Linked DNA regions of Macaca mulatta. The protein of the gene in region 1 purifies or fractionates together with the protein of each later gene. This does not show direct contact. Links are inferred from orthologs where the notes say so. Each region holds a gene or a part of one and is shown on either strand. Other genes may lie near its edges. The genes, in order: KIF23, RACGAP1, ECT2, ARF6 and SHCBP1.

What was found.
Region 2: the proteins of KIF23 (region 1) and RACGAP1 purify together in Homo sapiens (co-immunoprecipitation; 10 studies listed by BioGRID and IntAct, counting the BioPlex papers as one, with this or other methods). This does not show direct contact. The link is inferred for Macaca mulatta from reciprocal best matches to the Homo sapiens genes KIF23 and RACGAP1.
Region 3: the proteins of KIF23 (region 1) and ECT2 purify together in Homo sapiens (co-immunoprecipitation; 3 studies listed by BioGRID and IntAct, with this or other methods). This does not show direct contact. The link is inferred for Macaca mulatta from reciprocal best matches to the Homo sapiens genes KIF23 and ECT2.
Region 4: the proteins of KIF23 (region 1) and ARF6 purify together in Homo sapiens (affinity purification with western blotting; 3 studies listed by BioGRID and IntAct, with this or other methods). This does not show direct contact. The link is inferred for Macaca mulatta from reciprocal best matches to the Homo sapiens genes KIF23 and ARF6.
Region 5: the proteins of KIF23 (region 1) and SHCBP1 purify together in Homo sapiens (affinity purification with western blotting; 9 studies listed by BioGRID and IntAct, with this or other methods). This does not show direct contact. The link is inferred for Macaca mulatta from reciprocal best matches to the Homo sapiens genes KIF23 and SHCBP1.

The regions. Positions count from the first base shown.
Region 1 is NC_133412.1:47,026,573-47,030,087, forward strand, and holds part of KIF23 (kinesin-like protein KIF23), read left to right. Parts: intron 1-242; coding exon 243-371; intron 372-3,515.
Region 2 is NC_133416.1:57,172,530-57,176,044, reverse strand, and holds part of RACGAP1 (rac GTPase-activating protein 1), read left to right. Parts: intron 1-999; coding exon 1,000-1,117; intron 1,118-1,461; coding exon 1,462-1,592; intron 1,593-3,515.
Region 3 is NC_133407.1:84,486,914-84,491,068, forward strand, and holds the start of ECT2 (protein ECT2), read left to right. Parts: upstream 1-1,340; 5' UTR 1,341-1,475; intron 1,476-3,566; exon of another isoform or gene 3,567-3,677; intron 3,678-4,155. UniProt on the Homo sapiens protein: Guanine nucleotide exchange factor (GEF) that catalyzes the exchange of GDP for GTP. Promotes guanine nucleotide exchange on the Rho family members of small GTPases, like RHOA, RHOC, RAC1 and CDC42.
Region 4 is NC_133412.1:123,126,038-123,130,336, reverse strand, and holds the start of ARF6 (ADP-ribosylation factor 6), read right to left. Parts: upstream 2,811-4,299; 5' UTR 2,671-2,810; intron 2,571-2,670; 5' UTR 2,090-2,570; coding exon 1,562-2,089; 3' UTR 1-1,561. UniProt on the Homo sapiens protein: GTP-binding protein involved in protein trafficking that regulates endocytic recycling and cytoskeleton remodeling. GTP-bound form plays an important role in the transport of multiple palmitoylated proteins form the Golgi to the plasma membrane.
Region 5 is NC_133425.1:42,038,934-42,042,448, reverse strand, and holds part of SHCBP1 (SHC SH2 domain-binding protein 1), read left to right. Parts: intron 1-1,370; coding exon 1,371-1,579; intron 1,580-3,515. UniProt on the Homo sapiens protein: May play a role in signaling pathways governing cellular proliferation, cell growth and differentiation. May be a component of a novel signaling pathway downstream of Shc. Acts as a positive regulator of FGF signaling in neural progenitor cells.

The DNA.
Region 1 (3,515 bases):
TTTATTATCAAAATTTATTTTAATTTTGTGTGTATTTAAAGTTTTCTCATATCTAATATATGTTTGTATTTGTCAATCTCAAGTAGCAGATTTTAATTTTCATAGCTCTTGGAGATACAGAGCTCTAAAACTGAGAGACCACAAATGTTTGTTGAATGAATGAAGGAATGAATGAGAAGCTTAAGTGAAAAGTCAGGCAAAAGATCAAACTTTGTTATTTAAGCACCTTCTTATTTCTTCAGGTATACTGTAGGGTGCGCCCACTGGGCTTTCCTGATCAAGAGTGTTGCATAGAAGTGATCAATAACACAACTGTTCAGCTTCATACTCCTGAGGGCTATAGACTCAACCGAAATGGAGACTATAAGGAGGTAATTCTGATTTGAACCAAGTTGTTTTTTCTCAATATGTTGTTTCCTGAATGACTTACAGTTTTAAATGTAACAAAGTTCATTTGTGAGCCCACATTTTCGAAAGACTTATTTACTTCATTATAACCACTGTATCTAAAGTGTTTTTGACTTCTGCGATGCACAGACATATCTTTGATATGCTGGAGTTAGAGGATTGCTTTTAGCAGATAATTTCTTACCCTGAGTATTATTGGTTTTTAGAGCATGTGTTAGGGATGATTTAATGTGGAATGATACATGATTGTACTAGGCAGTTTTATATATACAACTTCATGTGTGGAAATTAAAGTAACATTTAATAATAGGCATTGTATGCTTGCATCAATCTCCTAGGCAGTGTTTTTATTTTTAGTAAAATTTTGAACCAACTCAAAAATACCATTTAGCAAATGTGCTAAGCTAATAGCTGGAGGCGGGAAGGAGATTTTAAAAAAATGAGCATGATATACTCCTTGCCTTTAGAAAGTCTATAACTTAAGACATATGGTAAACAAATAATTCTCATGTAAATAAGACAGAAAGTTAGGTGTGCTAAAGATGAGGGGACCGTGGGAATGCAGTAGGATTAATTCAGGCAGGCTACCATTTCTACTTCTAGCTATCACTCACTCTTTTGTGCCTACTATTCCTGTGAAATTGCTCTTCAGAAGAATACCAGTGGCCTCTTTGCTGCTAAATTTGATGTATACCTCTTCATCCTCATTATAACCTGTTTGTCAGCAGCACTCCCCTGTTTCCCGCTCCAGCTCTCCCTGTATCTCCAGCCGAAACCTTTTCTCTGGCTCTAAACATTCAGCCACTTACTTGATATCTCTGCTTGGATGTCACATGTGCATCTCAAATTTTACATGCCCAAAAAAGAGTTCTTGATTTTTCTTATTCCCTTTATAAATACTTCCTCCCTTGTTTTCTTCTCAAAGAATGGCACTGTCATCTGTCCAGTTGCTCAAGCCAGAAACCTGGTACCTACTGTTTACTTGCCCCTCCTCATAACTAGTTCATTAATAGCTCCTATCAGTTATATTCCAACATGTGTCTTGAAACTGTCCTTTCATTTCCATCTCCACTGCCACCACCCTAGTCTGAGCCCCATTATTAACCACTGAGACCAGTGCTACTGTAATGAAGGAGTAGCTTTTTTATTTTTAACGCATCACAGCTGGGACTTTTGTACACTGTGCCCGTGTGAGTTAGACAACAGGGAACTAGTTCATAATCTCTTCATAGAGATGAGCCTATTGAATACGGGCTGAAATACTGATAATTGGGCAGTGTCAAATGCCTGTAAAACTTTCTAAACATTTGGCCGGGCGCAGTGACTCATGTCTGTAATTCCAGCACTTTGGGAGGCCAAGGCTTGTGAATCACCTGAGGTCAGGACTTCAAGACCAGCCTAACCAATATGATGAAACCCTGTCTCTACTAAAAATACAAAGAAATTAGCCGGGCGTGGTGGGGCGTGCCTGTAATCCCAGCTACTCGGGAGGCTGAGACAGAAGAATCACTTGAACCCGGGAGGCGGAGGTTGCAGTGAGCCGAGATCGCACCATTACACTCCAGCCTGGGCAACAAGAGTGAAACTCCATCTCAAAAAACAAACAAAGAAAAAACAACTTTCTAAACATTTAAGTAGTCTTGTAACAGTTCTCAGACAGGCATTGGTTTGCTGAGTGTGCTTTGGGTATCATTGACACGACTGCCAAAGCCCAACTGCCTCCACTTGAAATCTTCTCTAATCCATTTCTACAGAGCAGACAGTGTTCTTTTAAAACATAAAATCTCATCATTTTCCTATTCAAAACCTTTCAAGGAATAAAATCTTTAAACAGACAAAATCCTGCTTCATCCGCCTCCCATCTGTCTCTCCACCCTCCACCCTCATCCATCTTTTAGTATTTATCCAATCCTTTGAGTTCCTTGGATAAGGCAGAATCCTGGCTGTTAGCTGTTGCCTTAACCCGGACTTTTTCTGGACCTTAGCATGGGTCATTCTTGGGTTTCAGCTTAAATGTCACCTCAGGTCATATAGACTGCGCAATCAGAAACAGCACCCCACAGCCCCTCTCCCCTGATCTGTACTCTGTGTACCTCCTTTATATTACTTAACCACAATCTATTTATTTACCTGTTTATTGTCTTTCTTCTACTATAATGTAAACTTCCAAGGAATATGTACCTTATATGTTCTGTTCATCAGACAGTAAATATGGCTTCAGCAAGAATGCATGGTCTGGGGGGGTTTTATGGAGGAGCAGGTCTTTGAGGATATAATATGGTTAAACACTGATTTACTGAGTTTTACTTCTTTAAGTAAATTTCAAGTATGTATAAATAAAGGTATCAAGTAGGTATAAAAAGGTTTGATGGGGATTAAAAATAATCACTGCTTTCTGACAGAAGGCAACATTATATAATGAAAAGAGCATTGCGGCCCGGCATGATGGCTTACACATGTAATCCCAGTGCTTTGGGAGGCCAAGGCAGGTGGATCACCTGAGATCAGGAGTTCGAGACCAGCTTGGCCAATGTGGCGAAACCCCATCACTACTAAAAATACAAAAGTTACCCAGTGTGGTGGCAGGCGCCTGTAATCCCAGCTGCTCGGGAGGCTGAGGCAGGAGTATGGCTTGAACCTAGGAGGCAGAGGTTGCAGTGAGCCGAGATCCCGCCACTACGCTCCAACCTGGGTGACAGAGCAAGACTCTGTCTCAAAAAAAAAAAAAAAAAGAAAGAAAACAAAAACACTGCACTGACGATGGCTTTGATACTAATTAACTCCATGAGCTCAGAGAAGTTTCACCTTTGGGCCTCAGTTTTCTTTACCTTGAAGGGAGGGAGTCATTCATGAGGACTGTGAGGTCATCTATCTTCTCAGTATTGTCCTATGTGTATCCTTTCAGTTCCAAGATTGTTTGTTCTTTTTGAACTCTAAAGCTGTTTTTACAGGATATTTTATTAATCGTATTTAGAGAGCCTTGATAATTGAAGTGTTCTTGCTTTCTTAAAGGTCACAATTTATTTAAAATGTATTTCATGTAAGAACTCAGAGATGAGATAATATTCTGATTTTAAAGTATAGTACATCAAAATGTGGTATTATGC
Region 2 (3,515 bases), on another chromosome or scaffold:
CTTATCCATGTGAATGGAATTACTCTGATTAAGTAAATAACTGTCAGAGTGAGTCTTAGTTGCTTGAATATATGCCCCCATCACCTATGTTTATCTTCTTAAGTATGAGATTTCTTTATTTTTACTTTTTAAAGTAGAGGGAGAGTCTCTCCTTGCTGCCCAGGATGGTCTCGAACTGCTGGGCTCACGTGATGTTCCCCACCTCGGCCTCCCAAAATGCTGGGATTACAGGCATGAGCCACTGCACCCAGCCAAACATGAGATTTCAACATAAGAATGTTTCAGGTCGGGCGTGGTGGCTCACACCTGTAATCCCTGCACTTTGGGAGGCCTAGGCAGGTGGATGATCACCTGAGGTCAGGAGTTCGAGACCAGCCTGGTCAACATGGCGAAACCCCGTCTCTACTGAAAATACAAAAATCAGTCGGCCAGACACGGTGGCTCACGCCTGTAATCCCAGCACTTTAGGAGACCGAGGCGGGTGGATCACGAGGTCAGGAGATCGAGACCATCCTGGCTAACACAGTGAAACCCCGTCTCTACTAAAACTACAAAAAATTAACTGGGCGTGCTGGCGGATGCCTGTAGTCCCAGCTACTCGGGAGGCTGAGGCAGGAGAATGGCATGAACCCGGGAGGCGGAACTTGCAGTGAGCTGATATTGGGCCACTGTTCTCCAGCCTGGGTGATAGAGCGAGACTCCGTCTCAAAAAAAAAAAAAAAATCAGTCAGGTGTGGTGGCACACGCTTGTAATCGCAGCTACTCAGGAGGCTGAGGCAGGAGAATCCCTTGAACCTGGGAGGTGGAGGTTGCAGTGAGCCGAGATCGTGCCACTGTGCACCAGCCTGGGCGATAGAGTGAAAAAAAAAAAGAGTTTCAGACTGTGGTCTTAAGTCTTGGCTAAGACTAAGGAATTTTTAACCTGCTCCAAAATACCCTATAGTAGAAGGTGAGTTAGATGCTTTGTTTGTCTTTCTCTCATTACTACTTTTGTTGCAGGGGAATGAATCCATAGTTGCAAAAACTACAGTGACTGTTCCCAATGATGGTGGGCCCATCGAAGCTGTGTCCACTATTGAGACTGTGCCATATTGGACCAGGAGCCGAAGGAAAACAGGTCCATTGAATTTGTGACTAAACTGGCCTGTGTAAAACAGCTAGTAAAATTTTGGAGAGTTGGTTTCTTAGAACCCTCCTGAAGCAGGGATTGGATGTATTGGGTAGTTTCTTACTGCTGCATACCGAGGACCAGATAACTGCTTGTATCATGCTTTACCTTTGAATTGCTAGCCTACTTGCATAACTTTAGTTTTTCTTGAAACTATTTTTTTACATAGCCATTAGTACTCACTTTTGGCTATGATGACAGATTACTGTTTATCTCCCAATTAAAATTGGAGCTAAAATTTAGAAGCAGCAAAATACTTAAGAAACAAAGCTTAAAAGTTGCTTGTTTTCTAGGTACTTTACAACCTTGGAACAGTGACTCCACCCTGAACAGCAGGCAGCTGGAGCCAAGAACTGAGACAGACAGTGTGGGCACGCCACAGAGTAATGGAGGGATGCGCCTGCATGACTTTGTTTCAAAGACGGTAAGTCTGTGATTGTTCGTTTTGTTTTAGGTATGTTTTAATTTTTTAATTGTGAAAGTAATAAATACCAGGAATAAAGTTAAATACTTTAGTGTTATAAAGTTAAATGTCAAATTTCCTTCCTCATTCCAATTTTACTCTCCAGAAGTAACTATTGGTTACAGAGGTAAGTTTCTTTCCATTCTGTGAGTAATACTAAATTAAAGAAACCAACCTTTTCTGAAGCAATTGTTAGTGCTTTTTTTTTTTTTTTTTTGTGAGACAGAGTCTTACTCTGTCACCCAGGCTGGAGTGCAGTGGTGTGATCATAGCTCACTGTAGCCTTAACCTCCCAGTCTCAAGCAATCCTCCCACCTCAGCTCCTGAGTAGTTGGGATACAGATGTGTGCCACCATGCCCGGCTAATTTTTAAATTTTTTGTAGAGACCTGGTCTTGCTATGTTGCCCAGGCTGGTCTCAAACTCCTGGGCTCAAGTGCTCCTCCTGCCTCAGCTCCCCAAGTGCTGGGATTACAGGCATGAGCTACCGTGCCTGGCCGATTGTTAGTACTTTTTAGTGACACATGTTTACATTTTTTCTTGAATATATCACCTAAGATTTTCAAAATGTTTTGCTTTTGTACCATTTGATTTCCTTATGAAAATCCAAGCAAATTAACTGAGGCTCAGAGGAGTTGACATTTTTGAGCCACATGATAGTAAGTGACACATTTAACATCCAGGTTTTCTTTTTTTCTTTTTTTTCATTTGAGACGGAGTATCACTCTGTTGCCCAGGCTGGAGGGCAGTGGTGTGATTTCGGCTCACTGCAACCTCTGCCTCCTGGGTTAAAATGATCCTCCTGCCTCAGCCTCCCAAGTAGCTGGGATTACAGGCGCCCGCCACCATGCCTGGCCAAATTTTTGTACTTTTAGTAGAGATAGGATTTCACCACGTTGGCCAGGCTGGTCTCGAACTCCTGACCTCAGGTGATCCTCCCGCCTTAGCCTCCCAAAGTGCTGGGATTACAGGCATGAGCTACCATGCCTTGCCAACATCCAACATCCAGGTTTTCTGCTCTTTGTAAACAAGTTCTTTCCACTACCTCACACTGCTGCCTTCCAGCTGGATGACCTTAAATGAGTTACTTAAACTCTTTTTGCTTCTGTTTCCTCATCTTAAAATGAAGAAAACAAAACCTATCTTATGGGATTACTGTGAGAATTACATATGTAAATATGTGTAAAGGGCTTAGAAAATTTTTTGGCACATACTAAGTGCTCAATAAATGTTAGTTGATTATGGCTGGGAGCAGTGGCTCACGTCTGTAATCCCAGCACTTAGGGAGACTGAGGCAGGTGGATCACCTGAGGTCGGGAGTTCGAGACCAGCCTGACCAACGTGGAGAAACCCCGTCTCTACTAACAATATAAAAATTAACCGGGCGTGGTGGCGCATGCCTGTAATCCCAGCTGCTTGGGAGGCTAAGGCAGGAGAATCGCTTGAACCCGGGAGGTGGAGGTTGCAGTGAGCCAACCTCCATCACACCATTGCACTCCAGCCTGGGCAACAAGAGTGAAACTCTGTCTCAAAAAAAGACAGAAAAAGGCCAGGCCCAGTGGCTCACGCCTGTAATCCTAGCACTTTGGGAGGCCGAGGTGGGTGAATCACAAGGTCAGGAGTTCAAGACCAGCCTGGCCAACATGGTGAAACCCCGTCTCTACTAAAAATACAAAAGATTAGCTGGGCGTAGTGGTGGGCACCTGTAATCCCAGTTACTTGAATGGCTGAGGCAGGAGAATCGCTTGAACCCGGGAGGCGGAGGTTGCAGTGAGCTGAGATTGCACCACTGCACTCCAGCCTGGTTGACAGAGTGAGACTCAGTCTCAAAAAAAAAAAAAAAAAAAAAAAGTTGATTATGATGATAATTTTCTAATTCATATCA
Region 3 (4,155 bases), on another chromosome or scaffold:
GAGCAGAAAGCGGTGCACAAAGGAAGTAGGGCTGCTTCTCACAGTAGCTTAATATGTTTTCAGTGATGAACATTTTTGGAATGCTGGGCACACCCAACTTCCAAATATGCAAGCACATTCCAAATGGAAATTTCAATTCTTGTTTTTCTTTTCTTCTGCCCTAACAGTTATCACAGCATTTTAATGAAGGTCAGACTTAAATACTGATAAGCAGGGAAACCAATAATTACCAGATTGCTTCATTCATTTTGTGGACAGCATTATAAACTTTTCCGGCATTCTAAGATTGCCTGACAAAATTAGAAAAAATTATTAAGTCCCCACGACCTGCTTGAGATGCTCACAAGTGTTCCATCCCAAAGTACACGTTTCCCTCTTCTTATTGGTATTTAGGTTCTGGCATCTGATTCCCCTTTCTTATTTATATTAGCCTTCAGGTGGGAACTATGCATAAACCCACCTGGTGGGGGTGTATTTTTCTTAAGAGATTGTGTTATATGGTATCATATTTAGAGAATAAAGAAATTATTTTCATAATAGCAACTCTAATCACAGGAAAAACTTGATAAATTCTTGACTAGACTTTAGGGGAAAGTACAAGTTCTTAGTGGGCGGAGGGGGGCAACGAGGAGGCAATTTGGCTCCAAAAATTCTTGAATCTAGTGGCATATTTTTATCAAATGCAAGCTTATCTTTTTAAAAATCCGAGAATTTTTCAAATTTCTAAGAATTGATTCTAACCCGCGATATTCCCTAGATGGGAGCGCAGTGGTTTAAATAATAGGATTTAAATAAGAGGCTGCTGATTCGAAGTCCACCTGGGGAGCCCGAGTTCTAGGACCGGTCCTTGGCCCTGCCACACGCCAATACAACTATCAAAGTCAAAATCCCTTAACTCAAATTTAAATACATTCGTAAAGCAGAAAGCATCCCGATAGGAAAATCCTACAGCTCACAGCAACCAGCAGGGAAACATTTATCTCTGGCGGCACTGATTTAAGTTTAGAAGATTTGGTATCGTTTAAAAAAAAAAAAGCTGGGTGGGGCCGAGGAGAATCCACCCAAACTTTCCTCAGGAAATAGGATGTTTACTGAGTAAATACGCGGTAGTCACAGAAACACCTGCTACTCCTATAAGAGCTCAGGAGCCACCACCGCCACCTCCTGGCCACATCCGGGCACTTCCCTGCAAACTCCTGACGACCCGACGTCCGAGCCGTTGGGCTTATTTGAAACACACGCACAACCAATCAAGCGGCGCCTGCCGGGAGGTGAAGAGCGTCGACCAATCACCGGCCCTCTGGAGACTCCTGCCTATGGGAAAGAGGTTGACATCACACGCCAATCGGCATGGCTCTTAGAGAGAGCAGCTTACTTTTTGAATCGGTTGTGGCGGCGGCCGGCAAGGAATGGCGGTATCTGTGAGAGGAGTCGGCCTTTGAAGAGTTGGAAGTCCTAGGGCTTTTTTGAGGGTGGTAAGGACTCTTTGTGAGTGAGGGAGGTGCAAGTGGGCGAGCGGCTCCAGAGCCAAGGGCTCTTTTGCCTGCGGTCGACGTCCCCGCCCCTAGTGACCGCGAATTCCGGAGCGCCCCAGCTCTGGCTTCCCGGCTCCGGGAACTGCCTCGCCGCACCCCACCCCCAGCAGCTGGGCCCTGACGCGGAGTGGGAGCCCGAAGCCCCCAGTATTGCTGGGCATCTTCGCCCTCACCTGTTGGCTCTTTTGGACGGAAGAGTGTGGGTGAAGGGAGGGAGTTGGGAAAGGGATTTTGGCAAGCCGCGCAGCCCTGTGGCTCTGGAGGCCGGCACTTGAAGCCTTTGGGGGCTTATCTCAGAGTGTGCAGTGGTTTTATTCTAGGATTCATCCTGGCTTCTTTGCGGGAAGTTTAGTTTTTCGTTTTTGCAAGATAAATCCAGGCCATCCGCCCCTCTTCCTCCCCAGCCACCCGGCACAGCTGTGTCTGGCTTAGTGGTTAAAGGCGCAGCCTCTGGATTCAGCCCGGCTTTGAATACCTCTTTTACCCCTTACTAATAGTTTGACTTAGGGGTAGTTACTTAACCTCTCTGTTCCTAGGTTTCTTCATCTATACATTGAAAATAATAATAGTACCTGCCTCTTAGGATTACTGCAGAGATTAAAAGGTTTAGGACAATGTCTGCCACGTATTAAGCGTTAAGTAAATGTCAGTTGTTAATAGTAACGTTATTGTTAATAACACCACCATTATACCCAGGATTGCATTTTAGTCCTTCACCTTGGAAGATGATTACCTAAAAAGTATTTAAGTAAAAGGAAACTTGAATGTTTGTTTACATGGCAAATTTTATCTCTGGGATAAAAGGGGGCATGTGTTATAGTGTGTTTAGCTAGAAGCTCTTTGGGTCTGTTCTTGGGTGAGAAGCCGTGTAGGTTTATGAACACTGATCCTATTGTGCTTATTTTAAAGGCTTCTGGAATACAGTAACTTGAAAAAAAGTGATTAATATATTTCAATTTCTAATCAGACTGTTGGATGTTAGTCATCAAGTTACCATGCATCTCTTTTTCTCTATAAATTTTGAAGCTGTTTTGGCAATAAATTGATCATATACAGTGTCATCAGGGACAATTTTAATTATTAATCATCTGCTTTTGATCATCTACGCTCCCTCCCTTTTATTAATCATCTGCTTTTGATCATTTGTTGTGCTCCCTCTTAAAGAGGGATGCATAGGAGAAAAACGTAAATATTTTCAATTTTTTTTTTTCTTAAGACGGAGTCTACCTCTTGTCACCTAGGCTGGAGTGCAGTGGCAGGATCTCGCCTCACTGCAACCTCCGCCTCGCGGGTTCTAGCGATTCTCCTGCCTCAGCCTCCTGAGTAGCTGGGATTACAGGCGCCTGCCACCACGCCCAGCTAATTTTTGTATTTTTAGTAGAGACGGGGTTTCGCTGTGTTGGCCAGGCTGGTCTCGAACTTGTGATCCGCCCGCCTTGGCCTCCGAAAGTGCTGGGATTACAAGCGTGAGCCACCGCGCCCGGCCTTTCAAATGATATTTTTGATTTCCCTCCTCCAGTCCTTAAAGCAGGTTAGCTCATCTCCTGACTTTTTTTTTAAACCACCTTTTAAGGGGACTTCGAATGAAAGCCACATTAATGCATTTTCATTGGAAAGGGTTGAGTGTAGAAGACTTAAAATAATAGGGCTGGATAGAATTTATCATTGATTCTAAATTAAGATTGTTACAATTATTGGACCGCTCCTTTGGAGAGCCTTAGAATAATAATTGACATGGATGTATGGTAAAGCAATAAGAAATATCCATATTGTGAATATTACATGAGAATAGTTGTTTGTTGTTCACTTTAAGACATCTAATCAGTTTTCATATTAACTAGATTTGAGTTGTAGTACTACGTGTGTTCCATCACTGGCTATGTGCAGGGCTGAGACAGGAAGCTGAGTTGCCTGATTTTGAAGTGTCACATGACACGATAAGACCTGTGCTGTTATTAGTGTGCAGGTTATTACATTCCTTATTTTCAGCATCCAAAAATGATGTTATGATACCTTACTGTTTCTTCACAGCATACAGTTTAAACTGTTACTTTGCTAAGACTCTGGAGGAAGGTATTTGTATATTTTATTAATCTGAAGAAGTAGGAAAGGGGAAAGTCTGACATGGAGCTCTTGTTAAAGGTGGGTCCTCTGTATCTTTGCCTAATATTTTAGAAATTTTCTCTCAGTAAAGTTGACTTATTGAAAATTGATAAAAATCTCTAAAAAAATTTTTTTTAGAGAGACAGGGTCTTGCTCTATCACCTAGGCTGGAGTGCAGTGGTGGGATCACAGCTCACTACAACCTCAAACTCCTGGGTTCAAGTGGTTCCCCTGTCTCAGCCTCTTGAGTAGCTACTATAGGCACTTGCCACCACACCTGGCTAATTTTTAAATTTGTTGTAGAGATGGGGTCTTGCTATGTTGCCCAGTCTGGTGTTGAAATTCTGGCCTCAAGTGATCCTCCTGCCTTGGCCTCCGAAAGTGCTGGGATTTCAGATGTGAGCCACCGAACCCACCCTGATGAAAACCTGTTAAACCTTTTATTCCCTGTCTAGCTTTTAAACTCTTCTTAAGTACTGGAAAACTTAAAAAAGGATTTTCTTTCATAGTCCAGAGT
Region 4 (4,299 bases), about 76 Mb from region 1:
ACCAGATGCTGCTTTACAATTCTGCATCAAGCATTAACATTTGGTTCAAAATATTATCATAGTGGTCGCAATCCAGTTACTGGTCCTAACCAGCTAACCAAGTAATCTTGTTAGGATCTGGATATCACCAGCGAGCACACTGCTTACATATGAAGAAAAATAAGTTTACATTCATTGTCATCTGTAGGTTCTTTCTCTTCATCCTACGTCCCCTTTAATAGTCATCCCTCAAGTCTACACATCATTCATTCATCACGCTTCCTTCCTTAAAGGAGACAGTGTACTATTGAACCAACAGGATATCTTCATTATTTGCATGAGTTAATCCTACAAACAAAATTAAATACCTTTTTTATAAAACATCTTTTCCAGTGTTCTAATTGATGGAGATGTGGATCACTCATCTATAAAAATGACTTATAGCTTCAGCTTTATCAGTTGCTATAATGTGAAAACAGGAATGTGTATTTTTTTCAACTAGGTAAAAGGTGCATATAATTTGAATTGCTAAATGCTTTATTAATGAACAAAGTAAACCTTTTAGTAATTTTTAAGTTACTGGTCTCAGGCGTTTGAAACAAGGTCAAAGTATACATTCCAGTTTTGCCCAAAAGTCACTTAAAATATCTACAAATGTTTAATCTGTGTGTGGTATACACCATTATTGCTCCAATTCCTGGAGTCTATTTTTAAAGTTTAAAAAAGAGGGAAAACAGCAAAGTGACTAACTTTGCAGTGGAAAAAAAAAGTGTCCTTCATGGGTTACACTTTCATATTCTTATGCAGCGTTAAGTTAGCTACCTTGTGGGGAACTTGGGTTTTATTCCTACTCATGCATGATGTATGTTTCAGAACTTATTTGCTGACATTTCAGAGAACCTCTTACATTACCTGTTTAACATACTGAGGTGCAACTGGAACATATTACAATGATATTACTCATTACTCGCCACTGTGGGCTAAGTTTACTATACTGGTCTTAGATATAAAAGGTCACATTTGAAATTACTAAGTTAGAACTCATAAGGAAGGGGGGAAAGGCCTTAAGTATAAAAGACAAACGGCAGTTTGATTAAGCAATAATTTTCAGTTTACTAGATGAAACAGACTTGCAACATAGTCTGCATGAATGCAAAATAAGCCATCTACAGCAAGTGATAAGGAAACTGGGCAAAAAAGGAAAAAAGCATACATAGGAAAATGAAAGATTCTCTCGAAATAAAAAAATCAAACTATTATTACAAAGGACTTTACCAGGAACTGCTGTATTTCCCCCATCCCATCTGCTGGAAGTCAATAAGAGCATCTAGCAACTTTGTGTTCATGTCAAATGTCAGATCAGAGCATCCTAATGCAAAGCCAAAAAAAAAAAAAAAGGGAAGAAGAGAAACAAACAAAAGAGAAAACCCCCAAGCCCCCTCCCCCCAAACTGTAGAACAGTAACTCCAGAGTTCAAATTCAAAAGAAGAGAAAGTGGCAATTGAAAGAGGTGATGGTGGCGATAATCCTATGAATGGGTTTTTGATTTCTCTCCTTCCAGGGGATGGGTGGAGAATGCTCATTAAGATTTGTAGTTAGAGGTTAACCATGTGAGCCCCTCATAGAGTCCGTCCCCTGAGGTGGCACAGGAGGGCTGCACATACCAGTTCCTGTCCCGAATCCGGGTCAGGCCCAGTTTCTCCTGGATCTCGTGGGGTTTCATGGCATCAGGCAGGTCCTGCTTGTTGGCGAAGATGAGGATTATGGCGTCCCTCATCTCCCGGTCATTGATAATGCGGTGCAGCTCCTGGCGAGCCTCATCGATGCGGTCGCGGTCGGCGCAGTCCACTACGAAGATCAGACCTTGGGTCCCAGTGTAGTAATGCCGCCAGAGCGGCCGGATCTTGTCCTGGCCGCCCACATCCCATACGTTGAACTTGACATTTTTGTAAGTCACCGTCTCCACGTTGAAACCCACAGTGGGAATGGTGGTCACCGACTGGCCCAGCTTCAACTTGTACAGGATTGTTGTCTTGCCGGCCGCGTCCAGGCCCAACATGAGGATCCGCATTTCCTTGTTCCCGAAGATTTTGGATAGCACCTTCCCCATCGCGTCGGAGGAGCCGGGGCCGGGGGCATTCAGGTGTCCCGGGTCCCGTCAGCCAACAACGCCGCCGCCGCCGCGAAACCGAAACGAAGCCTCCCGGCCGCGAAGGCGCCTTTGCGGCCTGCGTGGGAGGTGCCTCCTAAGGGCAGAGGCCCAGGACTGCCGCTCACTCGGGCATCACCGACCGCACAACTTGATTCCTCCACTCGCCGCTGCCACCCGGGCCCTGAGTCTGCGCCGGGAGCCGCCGCCCTGCTGAGGCGCGGCCCGGCCCGGAACTGCCCTTCCCCCCGCAGGCGCCGCGCGAGCGCCGCCGCGGTTCCCGCTCCTCCGCCTTCCTCTCACCCCGAGGGAGAATGCGGCCCTCCGGCCCGCCAGCCGGCCTGCAAACACTGGGCTCACCACCGACCCAGGACACCCGAGAGGCAGCACGACTCCGGGGCCCCGTCAGGTCATGGATCCTCGCGGGAACTCGGTACGCTGCCTGCAGAGAAACAGAGAGGGAGAGGGGAGTTACCGCCAGAGATCCAGAGAGGAGTGAAGACAGAGGTGGCCCGCCTTTCCAGCTCGGTGCAGGGGGTTACCTCCAGCCGCCGCCCCGAGCGCGGGCTCCCTCCGGCCTCCAACTCCTCCTCCCAGTTCTGCCGCCGCCGCTGCCGGAAAAGGCGCCGAGGAAACCGCCTCACTTCCCCTCCCAACCACGCAGGCGCAGCAGAGGCCGACCGTTCGGACAAGAGCGACCTCTGTAAGGAGAGCGGCCCGCGCGCCTAGCGTCATGGGCGCCACGCGCCGGAGGGGCGGGGCTACGGCGTCTCGGAGGGCCCGCAGGTGCGGTTGGCCCAGAGACCTGCAACCTCGGACTCTGACCGGCGCCCACCTGTGGCTCTTCTAGCGTCTCGTTCCCTGTTTTTCTCTTCTGCGCTCTGCCCTCCCCTGCCCACACGAACCAAGGGACAGATCTACTGGGGGGGCTCCACAGGGTGGGGCCCACGGGCAGCCCACTCTCTCCACGAACAGAGCTGCCTCCAGGCCTGTTCCCAGACCTCGGTGCCCGCCAGATGCTGTGCGAGTTCCCTCCGCCCGCCCCAGCCTTCGCGCACCCTCCGCGCACCCTCAACTTCCCAGAGAAGCTCTGTTCGGTTTTTTTTTTTTTTTCCTTTTTCTCATCCCCTTGGCTTTCTTTATCCCTTGAATTTTGTGTGTTTTCTGAAAGACACGTGGGAGGCCAGTGTCTCGTGTGGAATCTGCCAGTCAGTGCAGCGCTTTCGGGGAGTTGAGTTTACTCTGTAGCTCTTTTGAATGTTTGAGCCCTGTCTGCCTATAGGTCTCGTCAAGACCAGCCCATGTTTCTTAAAAACTGCAGTATTTATCAAGAGTTCCTGTGCCTTGCCGCGTTTTCACCTTTTTAGAATGCGACATCTGTTCATCTTTAAATATCACTTTATTTTATATGGTTAGTAGTAGCTTCTCACCCACCTACCCATTCTTTTTTTTTTTTTTTTTGAGACAGTCTCGCTTTGTCGCCCAGTCTGGAGTGCAGTGGCGCGATCTCGGCTCACTGCAAGCTCCGCCTCCCGGGTTCAGGCCATTCTGCCTCAGCCTCCTGGGTAGCCCTCAGCTTCCGGAGTAGCTGGGGGTACAGGCGCCCGCCACCACGCCTGGCTAATTTTTTGTAGTTTTAGTAGAGACGGGGTTTCACCGTGTTAGCCAGGATGGTCCCGATCTCCTGACCTCTTGATCCGCTCGTCTCTGCCTCCCAAAGTGTTGGGATTACAGGCGTGAGCCACCGCGCCTGGCCTCCCATTCTTTAAGAAGCCTAGGCGGTAAAATATAGGATTTAGAATATAGAACGACCGCTTGTATGGCCTGGATCTGGCACTTAACCTTACTAAGTTTATCTCATGTGTAAACTGACCTTGCTAACTCCCCCAGTGAGGCTTAAATAATACAATGTGGAAGACTTTAGGGCACATTTTTGGTTTTTTGGTTTTTGTTTTGTTTCTGTTGCAGTCCAGTGGCACAATCTCGGCTCACTGCAGCCTTCTCATCCCGGGTTCAAGCAGTTCTCCTGCGTTAGCTTCCGGAGCAGCTGGAATTACGGGCGCCCACCACCAGGCCCGGCTAATTTTTGTATTTGTAGCAGAGACAGGATTTCACTGTGTTGGCCAGCCTGGTGTCGAAGTCCTGACCTCAGGTGATCCACCCACCTCGGC
Region 5 (3,515 bases), on another chromosome or scaffold:
CATCTCATTGCCATGTTGCAGGAAGTGTTCTGCAAATTTTAAAGGCAACTGAGGAGTTGTTACCAGGGAATTAAACTGGTATAAATTAATTAAAAGAAGGTATTTGAGATCACTTAAAAAATTAGGCCTAATTATGAAGTTAATGGTTTCAAAAAAGTTTTTAACTTCTTAATTGTAATTCGTTAAGCAGCTCAAACCTAAGAGACATTTTTATTTATTTATTGTTTTTGAGATGGAGTCTCACTCTGTTGCTTAGGCTGGAGTGCAGTGGCATGATCTTGGCTCACTGCAACCTCCGCTAAGTGGCATTTTAAAACTAGCCCATTTTTTGCATAGCAAGTTTGTTTATATGTGGTTAATCTCTTGACATTGTGTCCCATTGCAGAATGTAAAAGCAATCTTATTCTTCTGCTGACTAGGCCTTTTACATTATATTTGCATTCTAATTACAGCTTTGAATTTTTCTCAGTGTTTGTTAACTGACCACAAAAAGCCCTAGTAACCTAAAATGTCAAACCAGGGTATGTGAATACAAGTTGTCGCTGCAGCTCCCTTAGAAAATGGCATCACATACTGCAGTGATTATGTACGAGGCAGTGGATTGCAGCTATTGCTTGTGAGTTTTAAAATTTTGGATTATGCTAATATTTTTTGGTTGAAGTTCAGGCCTATTCGTTTGGTTATGATAGGGCGCCCCCTGCCAGTCCGTTCTCTGAAAACAGTCAAAGTCATTGTTTCAAAACAGAAGCATGCCATTTCTCTGCTTAAAACTCCTAATGCATTGTCTTTACCAAGGGCTTAGTATTGGCTTTATGGCTTCTCATTGTATAGAAAACACGTAAAATCCAAGCTCCTTCAGATGTCCTTCATGTCCTTGTCTTGTTGCCTCTCTCTCTCTCACCTCATGTCTTGCTGCTCCACTGCACACCACCCCCTTCCTCCATTTCCTCCCTTTGGCTCCAGCAAGGACTGCCTTCCCGCTCGTTCAGCTGCCAAGCCTGTCTCTGGCACAGGCCTTTTGCGCTTTCCCTGCTCTTCACATGGCTGCTTCCTTCTCATCCTCCTCAGCTTGGCTCAGAGCTGATTTCCTTGGCCATCTCAGCAGAACCAGATCCCCACCCCTGCTAGTTATTCTCTGTCACCTACTCGTTATCATTGTGTTTATTGATCTCCCTGATTACAGTGTAAGCTCCATGAGGATTACAGTGTAAGCTCCATGAGCCAGCCTGATTTGTTCATCCTTTATGTTATGGGTAAAGGCTCCCCACCCACGTTGTATGCTTTTAAAAAAATCAGATTGTCAGTAGTATCTTATAGGTATATCTTAATTTTGATTTCCATGTGTTAAGTCTCATTATTTTAAATTTCAGGCCACAGATGTGGACTTTGCAGCCTTGAAGGCAGTGGTGAGGCTTGCTGAACCATACCTCTGTGACTCTCAAGTGAGCACTTTTACCATGGAGTGCATGAAGGAGCTCCTCGATCTGAAGGAACATCGGTTGCCCCTGCAGGAGCTCTGGGTGGTGTTTGATGATTCGGGAGTGTTTGACCAGACAGCCCTTGCAATTGAGCATGTCAGGTAGGAAAAGAAGTTGAGAAAAATAACCTTGTGGCCAGAAACTTTGGATGAAATGAAGTAATTCTGGTCTGTGTTAGACCCAGATTTAAAACTCAACTGTAAACTTGGTCATTGCAGTATTCAAAAATATCCAAAGATAGGATAATCTTTTTTAAATTAAAAAAAATTAATGTCTTAAATCATTTTTTTCTATTTTTAATTTTGAGACAGAGTCTTGCTCTGTTGTCCAGGCTGGGGTGCATTGGCGTGATCTTGGCTCACTGCAACCTCCACCTCCTGGGTTCAAGCGATTCTCCTGCCTCAGCCTTCTGAGTAGCTGGGATTATAGGCATCCACCACCATGCCCGGCTAAATTTTATACTTCTAGTAGAGACGAGGTTTCACTATGTTGGCCAGGTTGGTCTCAAACTCTTGACCTCAGGTGATCCACCTGCCTCTACCTCCCGAAGTGCTGGGATTACAGGCGTGACCCACCATGCACCTGGCCTAAAAACGTTTTAAGTCATTTTATGATAATTTCAAACTAATAGAAAAGCTGACAAAACTAGTATAGTTGACTCTTGAATGATGCGGGGGTTAGGGGTGCCTATCTCGTCTGACCCCTACACAGTCAAATATCTGAGTATAACATTTGAGTAATATATAATGACCATAATGTAAATAATATTGCTTGGTGTTTTGTAGTATAAAAAGTACTTTCCATTTTCTATACCATTAGTAAGTTAGCCTAGTTTTGCTGAGCTTAACTCGAATGCTCTGCACAGAAGCAGAATGTTTCAGGCCCTGCTGCCAACATCTTACGGACAGTTTCTAATTGTATGCAAGAACATTTAACCCTAGATGTTCAGTATTGGGCCAAGCAGAGTGAATCTAATGAACCGGTTTCTGTCTGGAACCCAAATAACTCTCTTCTATTTTTCTCATTAAAAAAAAAAAATCTGTCAATTGAAACATTTGAAGATAAAGAGATAACTGATAAGTTTAGGAAATTAGGAATCAGAGAGCTAATCTCTATGGGCATAGAAGTTGGTAGAAAAATAAGTATCTGGAATGTTATTTAGTAGTATTATTTGCAGAGGAGCCTGGTTAAATGTACACTGCATTTTGAGGGCTGAGATTTGGGTCAGTGCCCAGAGAGGGTCAAATTATGAGGGATTTCACTCGTTCATTGATTCAATAAATATTTGAGTGCCAGGTCCTTAGTCAAGGGTGGAGTATGTCTGGTGCATGAGACACACCATCATCAGGGAGCTGTTAGTCTAAAGGTGGGAGATGAGCCTTGAAGAGATAATCACGCACAGTTGTCTGCATGATTGGAAATAGCAGTCAGTGCTGTGAAGAATTACAGAGTGTCCTAAGATTAGGTCAAGTTGCAGTTCTAGGGTTATTTCCTGGAATAATGACATTTGAACTTGGGTTAGCTGGGTGAAAGGGGAGGCAGGGGTGGGGAAGGGAACAGATTTAGGAGCTCAGTGTGTTGAAGGAGCTGAAAGGCCAGCATGGCTGGAACACAGACAGTGCTGGGAGAGACCTAGGAAACGAGATTAGAGAGGTTGGCAGGGCCCAGACAGTGTGGGGCTTTGTTAGCTGGCTAGTCATTTTTGTCTTTAAGAGCAGTGGGAAGCCACTGAAGGATTTTTATTCTTGGGCAAATATGACTAGTTTTGTGTTTTGTGTTTTTATTTTTTTGGAAACAGGGTCTTATTCTGTTGCCCAGGCTGGAGTGCAGTGGTGCAGTTATGGTTCAATGCAGGCTCGAACTGCGGGGCTCAAGTCATCCTCTTGCTTCAGCCTCTGGATCAGCTGGGATTACAGGCATGTGCCACCACTGCCCAGCTAATTTTTTGACACAATTTTTCCATAGAGATGGGGGCCTTGTTGTGTTGCCCAAGCTGGTCTTGAACTCCTGGGCTCAAGCAATCCTCCCACCTCAGTC